2 linked regions of the Danio rerio genome follow. The protein of the gene in region 1 interacts with the protein of each later gene in a pairwise test. Links are inferred from orthologs where the notes say so. Each region holds a gene or a part of one and is shown in the gene's direction. Other genes may lie near its edges.

What was found.
Region 2: the proteins of creb5a (region 1) and spry1 interact in binary tests that used the Homo sapiens proteins (3 or more experiments, as listed by UniProt). The two-hybrid records come from large-scale screens. The link is inferred for Danio rerio from reciprocal best matches to the Homo sapiens genes CREB5 and SPRY1.

The regions. Positions count from the first base shown.
Region 1 is NC_133194.1:21,758,221-21,767,301, reverse strand, and holds the start of creb5a (cyclic AMP-responsive element-binding protein 5), read left to right. Parts: upstream 1-3,758; 5' UTR 3,759-3,819; intron 3,820-4,958; 5' UTR 4,959-4,974; coding exon 4,975-5,031; intron 5,032-5,160; coding exon 5,161-5,254; intron 5,255-6,372; coding exon 6,373-6,476; intron 6,477-6,897; coding exon 6,898-7,091; intron 7,092-7,995; coding exon 7,996-8,053; intron 8,054-8,145; coding exon 8,146-8,226; intron 8,227-9,069; coding exon 9,070-9,081. UniProt on the Homo sapiens protein: Binds to the cAMP response element and activates transcription.
Region 2 is NC_133189.1:682,894-689,804, reverse strand, and holds spry1 (protein sprouty homolog 1), read left to right. Parts: upstream 1-3,549; 5' UTR 3,550-3,943; coding exon 3,944-4,822; 3' UTR 4,823-4,834; downstream 4,835-6,911. UniProt on the Homo sapiens protein: Inhibits fibroblast growth factor (FGF)-induced retinal lens fiber differentiation, probably by inhibiting FGF-mediated phosphorylation of ERK1/2. Inhibits TGFB-induced epithelial-to-mesenchymal transition in lens epithelial cells.

The DNA.
Region 1 (9,081 bases):
TTATATTACAACATCTAAAACACTGAAGCTGAAATACATAAACACAACATGGGTATACCAAATGTTATTTACCTACAAACCATTACTTGTGTGATGGTAGTGCTTCAGCTTTTAGTGTTCGCCGATTAGTTGTTGTGAAATGTAGTGAAACTTGTAGCTCCAACAGCAAATGCCCCGCACTGCTTGATGTGATTCTATGAAGAAAACAAAAATAAAGCCTTTGAAATATTAGCTTATCATTAAACTTTAAAATATGAATTTATTGAAATCTTTCAAGATTATCTGTCTGCTGTTGCTAAAATATTTGTTTACTGTATACATATGATGGGATATATTTGGTGAATCTCACCTGTTGTAAGTCAATCTTCCTCTAGGAATTTGCCGCAACCTTTAGTATGACAAAATTGCATTTAGGTGAATTATTGAAAAACCTATGATGAAAATTATCTTTTGGAAGCTGTTTGGACAGAACTGTGTGTAGGTATAGTGTGTCTACAGTCTAATTGGGATGATATAAAGACAATAGGATCCAAATCCCTCCCGTTTTGAGGCCCATCGCAACTTGATGTAAGGGTGTGGTTTACTCACCCAACGAATTGATTGACAGCCACAACACGAGCACAAAGCAACTGGATTTTAAAAATCTGTTCAGCTCGCTGTGATGATCAATTATTATCAAATCTGATCAAGAATATGTTTTACAAGTTTTAAACAGTTCATGTTTGTAATGTATTACACCAATTAACTTCAGCTGTACTTATCACCGCAGCCACGTATCAGTACAAAAATAACAAGATGTTTCAATCCTGGTTTGAGGACATTAAATCAGGTTTACTTTGTACATCAACATAACGGATTTCCATACAGCAGTGGATATTAACCTGTATCCTGTCACATTTGCATGCAACAACAGTGAAAAATTAAATGCGAGCATTGTGTGTGTATCTGTCTGTCAACTTTGTAATGACGTTGTGTGTGTCTCATCATTCTCCTTAACTCATTAACTCCACAAAAAAATACATCAAATAATCACTGGGAAAGATTTTACTGTAGTTTTTCTCACAACTTGAGAACTTTACTAAGCTTTAAAAATGTGTCCAAATAAAAGGTTTAATCTGCCAAAAGGAAGGAAAGCCAAAAAGAAAATTAATGAATGAACAACAATACATAATAAGTTCATATATATCAGTTAACACAATTCGAAGGAGTATTACTTACCAAATGTAATGATTGAACAATTAAAAAAAAATCTGGTGATAAATATCCTATGTGTCTGTCTTCTGGTGTTTAACTGGAAGTTGGCAAACTAACTTAATGGTGCATTTTCCACCACCTGCAGAATTGGAAGTATGGGGCGCAACTTAAAAGACGCTGGTTCTACCTATGTTTTTGAGTTGAGGCAACAAATACTATAGTGTGAGACACTGAAAATGCAGTGTATGTGCTTGTGCAACTGAACTGTAAAGTAATCCAGTACTATTATTGTTTGTTTTTAATATCTATTTTATAAAACAGTTGTCAATCTTTGCAGGCCTGTCCAATTTATTATTTTAGTGAGTCGACTCATTGCACTGAGGTGCTCACGGTGACCCAAGTTCGTTTACCGGCTTGAGGTCCTATGCCGATCCTTCCCCTATCTCTCCTCTCCATACTTTCCTCTCTATAACTCTCCACTGTCCTATCAAAATAAAGATGAAAACCCCTAAAAACGATTATTAAAAAAACTGAATATGTATGCATTTACACACATTTACATAAGTAAATATATAGACTTAATGATAACAATTTATTTGAAAAGGTCTATGGATTTCTGTGTGTACAAATTCCATATTCTCATCCAAAAGAGAACAATGTCCTTGTGAAATCAGTCAAAATGCATTATGTTTTCAATCATTAATTTTGCTTCGGCTTAGTCCCTTTATTCAGCAGGGGTGGCCAAAGCAGAATGAATCGCCAACTTATCCAGCATATGTTTTACATAGCGGATGCCCTTCCAGCTGCTAGCCAGTTCTGGGAAACACCTATACAGTTGCACATTTACACACATACACTACAGCCAATTTAGTTTTTTCAATTCACCTGTACTGCATGTCTTTGGACTGTGGGAGAAACTGGAGCGCCCGGAGGAAACCAACGCAACATGGGGAGAACATGCAAACTCCACACAGAAATGGCAACTGGCCCAGCTGGGGCTTGAACCAGCTAACTTCTTGCTGTGAGGCGACAGTGCTAACCACTGCACCACCTTACATTTTGTTTAATTACTGTTATCTGTAACAAAATGCTTTAAGTTTCTCTTTTGTAAGTCACTTTGAATAAAACATGAATTTATAATTTTATAGATTATAATAGAATGGTGAAACAAAAGGTGAACCTGACAGTTCCTTTTTAAGTTGAATTATATCATTGGAGAAACATGGATGATGTCATGAGGCCTGTGGATGCATGCCCTCTGCTGCATTGTCTCTGTGTGTGAATGATTCATACTCAAAGATGTAGGAGTCAGCTAAGGCTGGGGCTTGATGTGACATCATTACCACTTCCTGTTTTGTGGTGTTGCTGGGGAAACAGCTACTAGCATTCTGAGTTAGAGCAGGCTAATGATTCACACTGTATTTTCCTCCCTCCCACTTGTGTGTTTTCTTGCACTCTTTCCCTTGCGATGACCACAAAAGGACCACGTTGTTCTGAAACATCAGACACACCCCTTAGTTTTAACACAATCTGAAAGTATCCACATTCTGTCATACATTTCAAATCATGACATCAGTGGTTTAACACGATGATTAAACAAAACATTCTTGAAACAAGTAACAAAGCATAAATATTTAGTCACTCCAAACAAAATGTATTCCATTTAGGTTTCTAAAAAGAGTCTAAAGTGTTTAAAGTACAGCGGTATAGTAGATGCATTTGATTAAAAGTTAATTATCAACACTTACCAACATTACCAAGTGTGTTTACAATATTAGGCCTCTGTAAATATTTAAAATATATAAGCTATTATTTAAAAAAATAAATATTAAAACTTAACTTACTCTCAAAAAAAAAAAATTTAAATCATATTAAAAGTCCAAATCTTCAATAAAGTGGCAATAAAATCAATTGAAAGTGAAATAATAAAAAATAAATAAATAAATATTATAAGTTTAGGCTACTTGAAGGTTTGCAGTTTTCTTCTCATACTGAGTAACTGACCAGTTGTATCTTACTGTTTTCCACTGGTACTGTAACCACAAAAGGAAAGAAATACGTGTTTTATTTGGTTGGCCGTCGGAAAAAACAAACGTCTGGTAATCATTTGGATATACGGGTTAAGCCAGCAGTTAACGCGCTCATACATGCCCGCTCTCTTCTCTTTATCACACACACACACACACACACACACACACACACACACACACACACACACACACACACACACACACACACACACACACACACACACACACACACACACACACACACACACACACACACCATACGTTAATCGGGACCGTCCCGCGCACAGCTCCAGACAGCTGTTGGCGCAGCACGCACGCAGTAAAGCGCCTCCCCTTCCTTTTTTCTCCCTCAACGCTCCAATGTCCGCATCGGACGCCCGCTACATCCTCCGGTGGGCGGGTGCGCGGAGTCTGAAAGCACCTCCTCTTTTTAAAAAGCGGACCGCAATGATTTAGAAGTTCAGGAATCCCACGTGACGTCACCACAAGGTGATGTAATGCTTCTGTAAATAGATCATATTGTAATCGCGTTTCACTTCAGCGTGCTTCGTCCCAGCGCGAGGAGCGTTGCTTGTCTCAGTCTGCGTGCGTTTAGGTAAGTTAGTGTTACTGTTTTACAGTCAGTCTTTTGAATATAATTAAACACCTGATTTACAGCGCAAACAGTTTACTTGTTTTGTACAGTGTTTTGTGGGTTTTTGATGCGGTTGTTGTTGTTTTACTGTCAAGTTATGTCAAAGTGCCGGTTTCCACTGAGATGGGCGCAAACTGTTAGAATGTTTGTTTGAGGGGGTGTGACACCGCCGAATAAACAGGCGATAACAATATTCATATAAAAAAGGTTCTGACTGAAAACTGTCGTCTTTGCAAATCTTTAGTAAAGAGTGTAAACAAACTTGTCAGCAACCGGAGCGAATGTTGGACAGTTAGCGGTTCGAAGCCTATTCGAATTTTACGTTAAATCGAACACGATTTAACGGTTATAATCAAACACATGTGCATGTTTAGAGGAAGAAAGTATTTGCATTCGCTTTGTGTTTAATCAAACCGTGGATGACACCTGCCGACAGATATACTTCAGGGTGAATCAGCCAACTTTACTGTGTTTTTTTCTGCTAAATTAACATATCTGCCGCTGGTGAGATGTCTGCTCTTGGTTGTTTGGGTTTGTAATATTCGTGACACCGCGTGAATCCTCTGGTTTCGCCATTACGTCATTCTGCAGGCCAGTTAGACGCTTGGCATTAGCACCGTAGACCCGTCTTGCCAATTCAAACTCTTGCCCGGCTCAACTAAACGATGATGTCATAACTAGAGGAATGATCATTTTATGAGTAACCGGGCTAGAAGCATGCGTTTTATAAGGTACTTATCATATACAGAGAGCACGCACTGTACACAGAAGACAATTCATTTATAGGGAAATGTGAACAAAATATGGAGAACTGAAAGCAATACAAATAGTTTCAGTAATTAGATTCTATCTATCTATCTATCTATCTATCTATCTATCTATCTATCTATCTATCTATCTATCTATCTATCTATCTGTCTGTCTGTCTGTCTGTCAGTCTGGCATTAAAAAGGGTTCATAAAGTCTCTGTCTATTTATCTATTTAGACAGGCAGACAGACAGACAATATATGTAGGTGTCATTTATATCTGGCTGCTTGTCATGAGCACTTCATAATGTCATCTCCACTGCGCATGTGTTTGTATGTGTATTTTTATTAGGTCTTTTACATCTCAGATGATGAATGTTGATCAGGACAGGCCATTTGTGTGCATTGCTCCTGGATGCTCGCAGGTGAGTGACAGATGTCCTGTTTTGCTGCGGATTGTCATTTTTGCAAGCTATAATTGATTCATAGTTTAATACTTCTAAATAATTTTTTAACATTTATTTCTACATCAATTTTGTTTCTGATTCTTATAGAGCTTCCAAAGAGAAGACCACCTAATCATCCACAGACACAAACATGAGATGACGCTTAAATTCCCTTCTATTAAGTGTGACAGTATGCTTTCAGGTAAACACACACACACACACACACACACACACACACACACACACACACACACACACACACACACACACACACACATAATTACACACTGAAAGGGTATTTTATAATCAATGTTATATTAGGATTGTCAGAACAACGACAGTGTCAATCTAAATTCTGTGGGTCAGAAATATAAGAGCCTGGGAAAAGAGAATATGTGTTTGAGTGTCATGATAGGTCATGTTCTCCATCTCCTTTAATTTAGGATTTAGACAATGTCTGTTACCCTGGAAACTCAATGTCTGACATATAAACATCAGCCTGACCCTTAACCTTTGGGGTCTGTGAGCCATCACTGGAGCGGCAGAAACATTTACATAAAAAACAAAAGAAGGGCTTTACCTTCTGACCTCTTTCATGGTAGTCTAGAAAAAAGCGTTTGGTTTAGACTACCTCTAAATTACCAAAACAGCGAGAGCAAAATCAGGCTCATGTTTATGACATAGGGTTAATTTTTACCATTTTTTCAGCATGTCACGAGAGTACTTCTGACATGTTTCGCTTATGACATTGAGAAGAAGGCTAGCTTTTCTACATTTGTTTAGAAGGCCTGGAAGTTACTTGATATTGATCTACTTTATTTTGTTCTATGACCCTATGACATGCCTCCTATGTTTACATGTAGTGTATGACATATTTAAATATTCAATATATATTATAAACACCATACCACCTCAAAATAATTCTAGAGATACATAGATAACCCTGTTATAAAAATGCATTATTTATAATATTGTATGTAGCATACACCTATCTATAAAACAATATAATAATACAATATTTATTCATGTATACTGTGTATGAGATGGTATAATCAGATTTATGCATTCTTTGTTTCTTATTTGTGAATATATTGAAAAAAATTATTGCCTGAAAATATAGATATTTTTCTATATATTTTTTTAATTTATTATTATTTTTTTTCTGATATAAATGTACTTTATAAATGAACTCACCTTGTTCTAATTAATAAAAATCCCTATCGTATTGACTTCCTTTATTTATTGCCAGTGACATTTTTATGTGTGGCATTCTCTTTGCATTTGTGATTTGACATATATGTACTCTTTGTTCATCTATAGATCAGACTCCAACACCAACTCGTTTCTTACGGGACTGTGAGGAAGTGGGCCTCTTTACTGACCTGGAGCTTAACCAGTCTCAGACGGAAGAGCAGACCAAACCGGTGAGAGGAAGTTCATGTTTCAAATCTTACACACATGTTCAAATGAATAATATATTAATTTGCTTAACAGTCTTTACCACAAATAGAAGTCTTTAAGCTAGTTAAGTTTTACATTTAATTCCATATTTGCATATGTGTGTATGTCCATAATATGTGGAATGTACTAAGAATTAAAGGTATTAAAACAGTTCTCATATACAGATCTCTATAGAAGGGCAGAGTGGCAAAAAAAGTTGAAACTGCTCCTTTAACAGACATTTAACTGACTATAAGTTTAACTTGATCATTGAACTGACTTACACTAACCCTAACCTCAACCTAACTTATTATCTAATGAGAACTAGTTGGCATGTAGATGCAATGTAACTTAAATTCAACAAACAGACCTTCAAAATTAAGTGTGCTCTTTTCCTCTTTTTAGAACTTTTCTGCACAGACGTCAGCTCAGAGGCAGCCTCACACCGAAACACAACCTGAGCAAGGTCAACATCAGCAGTTTCAGCCTCAGCAACAGCAGTCGTGTGCACTGGCCCATCTGAACCAGAACCAGCTCCAGACGCACAGCTCACAGTGTCAGTCTCAATGCACTGCCACATACTCCAGTTCAAATAAGCAGTGAGTGTCACCAAAATATACTGTACCAGGAATATTATTATATCATTGGTTCTCAAAAAGGGGGCCCAGATAACTTAAACTAATATCAAACAAGCAAATGTAAAAAAATATATATTTCTTACTTTCACTTTCTCAATAATATATTTCCTTTGAGAGACCTCAATATATGGGGTAGCCTAATTTCAAAAACGTGATTATAAATTAATAGTCTTAAATTCCAGGGAACCACCAGTAAGAATCTTAAATAATTTATCAAAAATTTAACTGAAAATTTTATTTACCTTTGAATATATTTTTGTGTGAATTTTATTTTATTTATATTTTATATATTTATAACTTTTTATTGTTATACGTATTTGTTTTTATCATGCAATATGTTTATGTATATCCATTTTGCCATGAAATAGTTATGTTACTGTTGTGGCAATGAATAAATAATAAATAAATTAATAAATTCCAGGGATTTTAATATATGGACCCTCACAGAAAGTGGTTCTTAAGTTATAGAATACTGCTTTCAGGTCTTAGAACATCTGAGATTAGGCGTTTGGACCTGAAAATATAATATCAGGCTTAACAAGCAGATTGGTTGATCTCATGTGAGTGATAAGTTGTTCTGTCCTCACACCTAAAAACATGTCAAGAAAAGGATGTTAAAGCAGCATTGCTTATTTAAAAAAAAATTGCCAGCTTAACATCTCGGTGTAAAAATGTTTATAAAATGCAAATTAATGTTTCCCCTTAAAATATTTTACACTATTTTGCCCTTTACTATTAAATTCAATAATTTGTAAGTCTCTGACATTCTAAACTTCTTTCCAGTAAGTAAATAAATTATTTGTTTTTTTAGATTCATTTTAAGATTTTGCTAACTACTCATCTAGGCCCTTTTGGCTCATTACAGATCTGCACCCAGTTGTCTACACAGCAGACAGACAAACACTGTCAAATCAAACATGAATGTAAGTATAAAGTGAAGACTAATAATTATTGAAATTATACATCTGTTCCTTATTATGCATCACAATAACTGAAAATATAATTTAAACGACAGATGGAGTCACAGATGTCAATGAACTCCAGTATTATTGGCATACCAGGACCCGCCCACTCTGGCTCATGCTCCTCCGTTCAGGTACAGTCCCATCTAATGATGTGACTCCATAGTTACAGGATTATGATGTCTCTATAGAAACAGAACAAGCCAGACATGGGTTATAATGACACAGTACTTGGTAACTAATGTAGACTTCTTGACTGAGTTATCTAATTCAAACACATGCAATGTTTTAGTCCTGCTTGTTAAAAAAAAAGCTTCATTCAAACACACACTTTTGTTGGTATTGGTGGTTTATGAGGACTCTCTACAGGCTTAATGTATTTTATAGAATAAAAATTTACCTCTAGAGATAAACCTAGCCCTCACAGGAAACCTTAGGCAAAATTTGAATGTCAAAAGACTTAAATATCATTTATAAGCATTTAGAATTACAAGGACACAAGGCATGTCCTCATAAACCACCATAATATAGTACAGCTAGGTCATACTCATGTCAATAAACAAAAAACTATCCTTGTAAACTACCAAAACGAGTACACACACACACACACACACACACACACACACACACACACACACATATATATTCATGCGCTGACTCTCTTCAGAAAGTGGAGAAGATTGAATTTCAAAGGGTTCGGCTTGACCTGGTTATCATCTGACTTTTCAAAGGCGTCTTTGTAGATTCTGTGTTTTGAAATACTTAGTGCCAAGTAATCTTACCATTGCAAACAATCACCACACACAAGAATCCTGTGAAATTAAAAACACAAGCTTGCCTGCAATAGCTGGTAAAACAAATCTTGCTGGAGGAATTGTCCTATTAAATAGCATGCATAATCCATGCAGTGTTGCATGTCAGTGATGTTAACAGTAACCTCAGGAGCCATTCTGACCCATTTCTCCCCATCTCTTCAGCGGTCAAAGGTC
Region 2 (6,911 bases), on another chromosome or scaffold:
GTTTGATTTGAAGTCTTCCTGCTCGGTGTGGCTCTGCATTTTAATGTTAAGCAGCCATACACATGCAAATCAGCACGGGAAGTATTTGTACTTTACTTCACTTGTGTGCTTATTGAGGTCGGTACAAAGTCTTGTTAATAGTCAACTCTCTCTCTCTCTCTCTCTCTCTCTCTCTCTCTCTCTCTCTCTCTCTCTCTCTCTCTCTCTCTCTCTCTCAATGCAATTTAATTCAAACTTGCTTTATTGACATGGCAAAAGTTATGTATAGCATTGGTAAAGCATCTGTAATGTTTACATTATACAGAACATATGGCATATTATAATAGTAGCGAGAAAAACAATTAATAATAATGAACAACCAACATTTTCGAATTAAACAATAATAATAAACAGCATACACTGTGAAAATATCCGTAAATTAGCAGTTTTTCGTATTTTATTATTGTTTTTTCTTTTTATTTCTGCTTTTGAGTTGCATTATGGGACCTTAATCTTTCTTCCAGCTACGTTCAACATTGGAAAGGTCGAGAAAAGTGACTTTTATAAACATTTTTAGTGGTTTAAAGGGCTATATTGTCTGTGCTGTGTTGTATATAACGCTATAAAAGCCTGGTCAGCACATGTTCTGTTCATTTACAGATTATTTCTACTCTAGATATTATTTTATTGTAGAATATATTAATTCAAACTACACAAATGTCAATAAAAGTCACTTTGTCAAACTGTAAAGGTGAATTTTCAACATCAAAAGTGAACAGAGCAGAGATCAACATCCCTTAATGCAACTCCCCATCGGAAATTGTTCAGATAACAGATGATTTTACAGTGTATTTAACAACCTCCAGCTTGATTGTGTGTGTGTGCGTGTGATGTCTCTGGTCGGGGGTTAAATGTCTCTGTGAATAGAGGAAACAGAGCTCGAGACCCGCACTTCACGCACACACACACACTGATTTAAGAGCGCTGTCTCTGTAAGTACATCTGCACACGTCCAGTCCGGATCCGCGAGCGCGCGAATTACCCGCTGTGAACGCGCATCCCGAACACCAGGGTGTGAATGGTGTGTCCGGGGGGTTTGACCCTCTAATTAAGGCTTGAACCCCCAAAGGAAGTGAAAAACAAAAGCGTGGGGCCCCGGAGAGCGTGCATGTGTTTCAACAGTTTTACAACGCTCCAGTAAACACTAATGCTAGATTACCGGTACGCTTTTCTTTGACCAAGTGCACTTAAAAATAAGGGTCCTAAAAAGATGCATCCAGTAAAATAAGCTTTAAGTGAATAATACTACAAGTATTTGTGGTTAAATATGTGTAATGCATTGTGAAGGTGTTCATGCATTAGTGTTTATTAAGAAAAAGTTATAATATGTGAGCACAAAAAAAAGAGTCAAATTTAAATAAAAACAGGTTTTTATTGTTGTTTGGATTGGAAAATATTTGGGTGTAAAAATCTGTTTGAATATCTGGAATCTGAACATGCAAAAATAATCTTAATATTGAGAAAAATCACAATTAAAGTTGCTTAAATGAAGTTCTTAGTGATGCATATTACTCATCAACATATATTTTTGAGATGTTTAACATAAGAAATTTACTGAATGTCTTCATGAAACATGATTATGTCAGATTCTAATGATTTTTTGGCATATAACAAAATATTCATGACTCATAGAGTGTATTTGGCTGTTGCCCAAAATATACCTGTGCAACATCTTAATGTGTTATTCTTGACTTTATACTTCTGTTATTCTGTTATACTTATACTGTTATAAAGAATATATAGATAAACCAATGTTTAGTTATTTAAAAGACCATTCAATTGTGATGGTTATAACCAATGCCTTAAAATTAAATTATATATATATATATATATATATATATATATATATATATATATATATATATATATATATATATATATATATATATATATATATATATATATATTAACCCTAACCCCAGCTCAGAGATAACTCCCGCCTGGTCTTTTAGCATGTAAGGGGGTCCAAGATCAGGTAGTTCTCGAGAGCTCTTCCTGGTAAAAAAAGAGGAGATAAGGTGGAAGGGGGGATTCTTCCAAAACAAAGATAAGGCAGTAGTGTGAATTAGGTCTATTTATTGAAGGATTGGATCAATTTGATTGGATTATTGCTGATTACCAATAAGAGGCCAGCCGCGATCAATCATATCACCTGCTCCTCTGGGAATTAATTTAAAAAGTCCACTTAAAAGTGCACTGAAAATATCACTGACATCAGTCAAACTGACTACAAATGTTAACTGCATTTAATTAAAAAACAGTAGAAATAGAGCTTAATCAGGTCATCACAGAAAGATGTTTAAACGTAATTAATGTGGAGAATAGGCATTGCAAACACCGTTGCATTAATTGCAGGCTGTGAAAGACCTCGCTCTCTCCCTCTCAGATTACTTTTAATAATTGACATGACTGTAAAAAGACAACATAGCCAAAGCTTGATATATGTGGAAGAGTATAACTATGAAAAAAGATCAAAATAATAGAAACTAAACATCATAACAATTAAATTGCATTGTCTTTCTCAATTTAATTCAATAATTGGTTTATTGGCATGACACATGTTACAAATGTATATATATATATATATATATATATATATATATATATATATATATATATACACAAACACACACACACACACACAATAAATAGTATAATAAATTATAATAATAAAAATAAATGAATAAATAAACAAATGTAAAGTAATTTAAAGTAAATTTTTTTTGTCCTAATATTACTCTCTCTCTATTTCTCTCTCTCTCCAACATATGGTGCTGTAAAGTTGTGCTTTTGTCTGTGGTAGAGATTAATTTAATGTTTAGCTATTGTTGTTTAATGTAGATTGCTGATTGACACACTGAATAAGTCATGCAGCAAATGTCTTTCTGTTACTTCAGCTTATTTTAATAAGTTATTCCAGGTTCATCTGCATGTTTTAAGTTCGACTAAGTTCAACTCCGCATGTTTACTCAGTTTGATTGATGTCAGGATTGATGACTGGAAAAGTTCATTTAATTCAAGTAAAAATATTAAAGCAGCAACAATTCATTACAGAGTATAGTCATGTAATTGTAATGAAGTACTTATAAAACCTCAAATCCCTCTTTCTCAAATATATGTTGCTATAAGATGTGTTTTTTTGCATTGTTAATTGATTTATAATTGTATAATTGTAGTGGTGTGACAGATCACAGATCTCACGGTTCGGATCGCACCAGTTTTCCGATCAGCCAAAACAGGGAGGAGACAAATAGCTTGCTTTCCATTTATTACTAAAACAGCACTGCGAGAAACACAACTTAGAACCTGTCATTTCACATGTATTTACTGTAAACATCAGTGTTTATATCTGAACTATGAACGGCTCTCAGTTCTCCTGTGTTATTGGATTGTAACTCTAACTCCACTCAAAAGACCTCCACGATTAAACACAGATCTGAACGCAGCGCTTTGAAGGATTAATAAATATGTGCACATCATCATCATCATCTTCACCTTTATAATTATGTTGCATAGGTGTTGGAATTGACATCCCGATCTAATGATGATGAGTTGTGCAGCTCTACACTGAATGCATTGATGCAGGATAAACTACTGCCGGAAAACTCTGGTGATAACTTAGGAAAGGCTTTAGATGCCTCCACAACTTCTTCAGCCATCATCATATTTTACAGAGCAGATTAAATGTGTTCATATATGTGAATCTTTTTGCGATCCTTATATTGGGCACGTGTGTTCCAAACTTTGGTTTATGATCGCTACAGATCACGGATCAACCATCATCCACTACACCCCTACATAACTGTAATAAAGCACTTATAAAACCTCATCTCTCTCTCTCTCCGTGTCTCTCAGGCTGTCAGATGAGCATTGCTGTGTGGTCTGGAGCTGCTGATCGTGTCTTATGGATCTCCGCGGTCAGCGTGGGCATGCGGACCCCGGGGCCGTCCTGTCCCTGGACCAGATCAAAGCCATTCGCAGTAATAACGAATACACTGAGGGCCCGGCAGTCCCCCGGAGACCGGCCCCGGGACCACCACCGCCACCGCGTCACGCACACAAACATGAGAGGACTCATGAAGTGATCCTGGTGAACGTCAACAATAATTACGAGCCACAATCCTCGTTATTAGTGCGTCCGCCGGGTCTCAGTAGATCCACCAGCACCGGGAGCTCCGAGAGCAGCAGCAGTGCAGGATCCGAGCTGGGTTTACTCTCCAGAACACCACAGCATCACAGGAACAGCGTACGGACTCAGCCCAAATCTCTGAACGCTCCCTTTCTGCCGCCGGACGCTCCCCTGAAACAGATGCATGCGGATAGCAGAGACTCTGCGCATCTGTACATCTGCGAGAGCTGCGGGAAGTGTAAATGCAGCGAGTGCACGGCTCCGCGAGCGCTGCCGGCGCGGCTCGCATGCAACGGATTGTGTTTGTGTTCGGCGGAGAACGTGATAGAGCAGGGCACGTGCATGTGTTTGGTGAAGGGCATTTTTTATCATTGCTCCAAGGACGATGACGATGTTGGAGACGCCTGCGCTGACAGGCCGTGTTCATTATCGCATCCGCAGTGCTGCTCGCGCTTTCTGTGCATGGGCCTGATGGCGACGCTGTTCCCCTGCCTGCTGTGCTATCTGCCCGCGAAAGGCTGCGTTAAAGCCTGCAACTCCTGCCATGATCGGCTGACGCGGCCCGGCTGCCGCTGCAAGAACTCCAACACTGTTTACTGCAAACTGCAGAGCTGGAACCAGACGCCGGGACACACGCCGGGGAAACCATCCTGAGGCACAAACTGATGGTGTATGGGGGGTAAAATGAGTATTGCTGACACGACAGGATTTCTCTCACTAAAATACGAAGAGTTCATCAATGCCATCAGACACTGTCTGCTGAAATGAGCATTTTGCTCAGCCTCCCATGTCTGTGTTTGGTTATTTGTGGCATGAAATGAAAGACTTTTTCCACTATCGTATTGTGCATCTGATTCAAACAGTCTTAAAATGAGAAAATACTAAAAAATACTGGATAATTGGAAGACGGGTGTTGTGAAACACAATCTAGGAAGATTGATGAATGGATAAAATCAGGGCAGACATGCCCTGATAACCCCGCCCTAAAGTTCAGATAGCCCCGCCCTAAATAACTGATAGCCCCACCCCAAAAGTCTGATAGCCACGCCCTAAAGGACTGATAGCCCTGCCATAAAGAATTGAAATCCCTAAAGGACTAATAGCTATGCATTAAAGTATTGATATTCCCGCCTTAAAGGACTGATAGCCCCGCCCTAAAGGACTGATAGTCCCGCCCTAAAAGACTGATACCCCCACCCTAAAGAATTGATATCCCCGCCCAAAGGGACTAGTAGATCTGCCATAAAGGATTTATAGTCCCGCCCTAAAGGACTGATAATCCCGCCCTAAAAGACTGATTGCCCCACCCCAAAGATTTGATATCTCCGCCCAAAAGGACTAATAGATCTGCCATAAGGGATTCATAGTCCCGCCCTAAAGGACTGATAGTCCCGCCCTAAAAGACTGATAGCCCCACCCTAAAGAATTGATATCCCCGCCCAAAAGGACTAATAGATCTGCCATAAAGAATTGATAGTCCCGCCCTAAAGGACTGATAGTCCCGCCCTAAAGAATTGATATCCCCGCCCAAAAGGACTAATAGATCTGCCATAAAGGATTGATAGTCCCACCTTAGAGGACTGATAGCTCCACCCTAAAGGACTGACAGTCTCTCGCTAAAAGACTCATAGCCCCACCCTAAAGAATTGATATCCCCGCCCTAAAGGACTAATAGCTCTGCCATAAAGGTTTGATGGTCCCGCCCTAAAGGACTGATAGCCCCGCCCTAAAGAATTGATATACCCGCACAAAAGGACTGATAGCTCTGCCAAGAGGATTGATAGTCCCGCCTTAAAGGACTGATTGCCCCGCCCTAAAGGACTGATAATCCCGCCCTAAAGGACTGATAACCCTGCCCTAAATATTTGATAACCCTAAAGGACTAATAGCTCTGCTCTACCATAAAAGATTGAGAGTCCCGCCTTAAAGGACTGATAGCCCCGCCCCAAAGGATTGAAAGTCCCGCCTTAAAAGACTTGTAGCTCCACCCCAAAGTACCTCTTCTTTGTCATAGAAGTGAAATAACTGAACATACACAGAAGAGGCTGAGAGAAATGCTCATTGTAGAAGAACATTTCACTCTTCACATGTTTCTAGAGGTGCTGATGACTTGAAATTGTCAGCAGATGTCGGTAACAACTAAAGTAATCCATACATGCAAAGAAAACACAACTGATTAGTTCAGGAATTTAGCTGTGTGTGGTAAAATGAAATGACACCAGGGAAAAGTATTGAGCAGATGAGTATAAAGCTACTGAGAGGCCTCGCTCGCTGATTTCAGAACAGAAAATAAAGCTGCTGGCAGAATTATGAGGAAACATTGGCCAATCATAGGAATCAGATCACACCTGAGCAATGCAGAGACTCCATCCTCTATATGATCAAATATTAAATACAGCAGTGGCTCAGTGGTGGCCTCACAGCAAGAATGTCTCTAGTTCGAGTCGAGAGTTAGCTTTATCAGTATGTTTTTATTGTCATGTAAAATCTGGGTCAATTTCATGTCAACAACTCTTACAGTAATATATGTACGAGGTAAAATCCTGACATGTTCAATACTTGTTTTACCCGCTGTGTATCCAAATGTATCTCTAGCTGAGGGAAGCTGCTGCAGGATGCGGAAACATGCCTATAATAGGAGATATGTTAATGAGCACCCAATAAGCTCCGCCCCCTCTCCGAGGATGTTTCAGGCAGGTTTATTTAGTGGAGCGGTGTTGACTGTGCGCAGCTACTGTCCGAC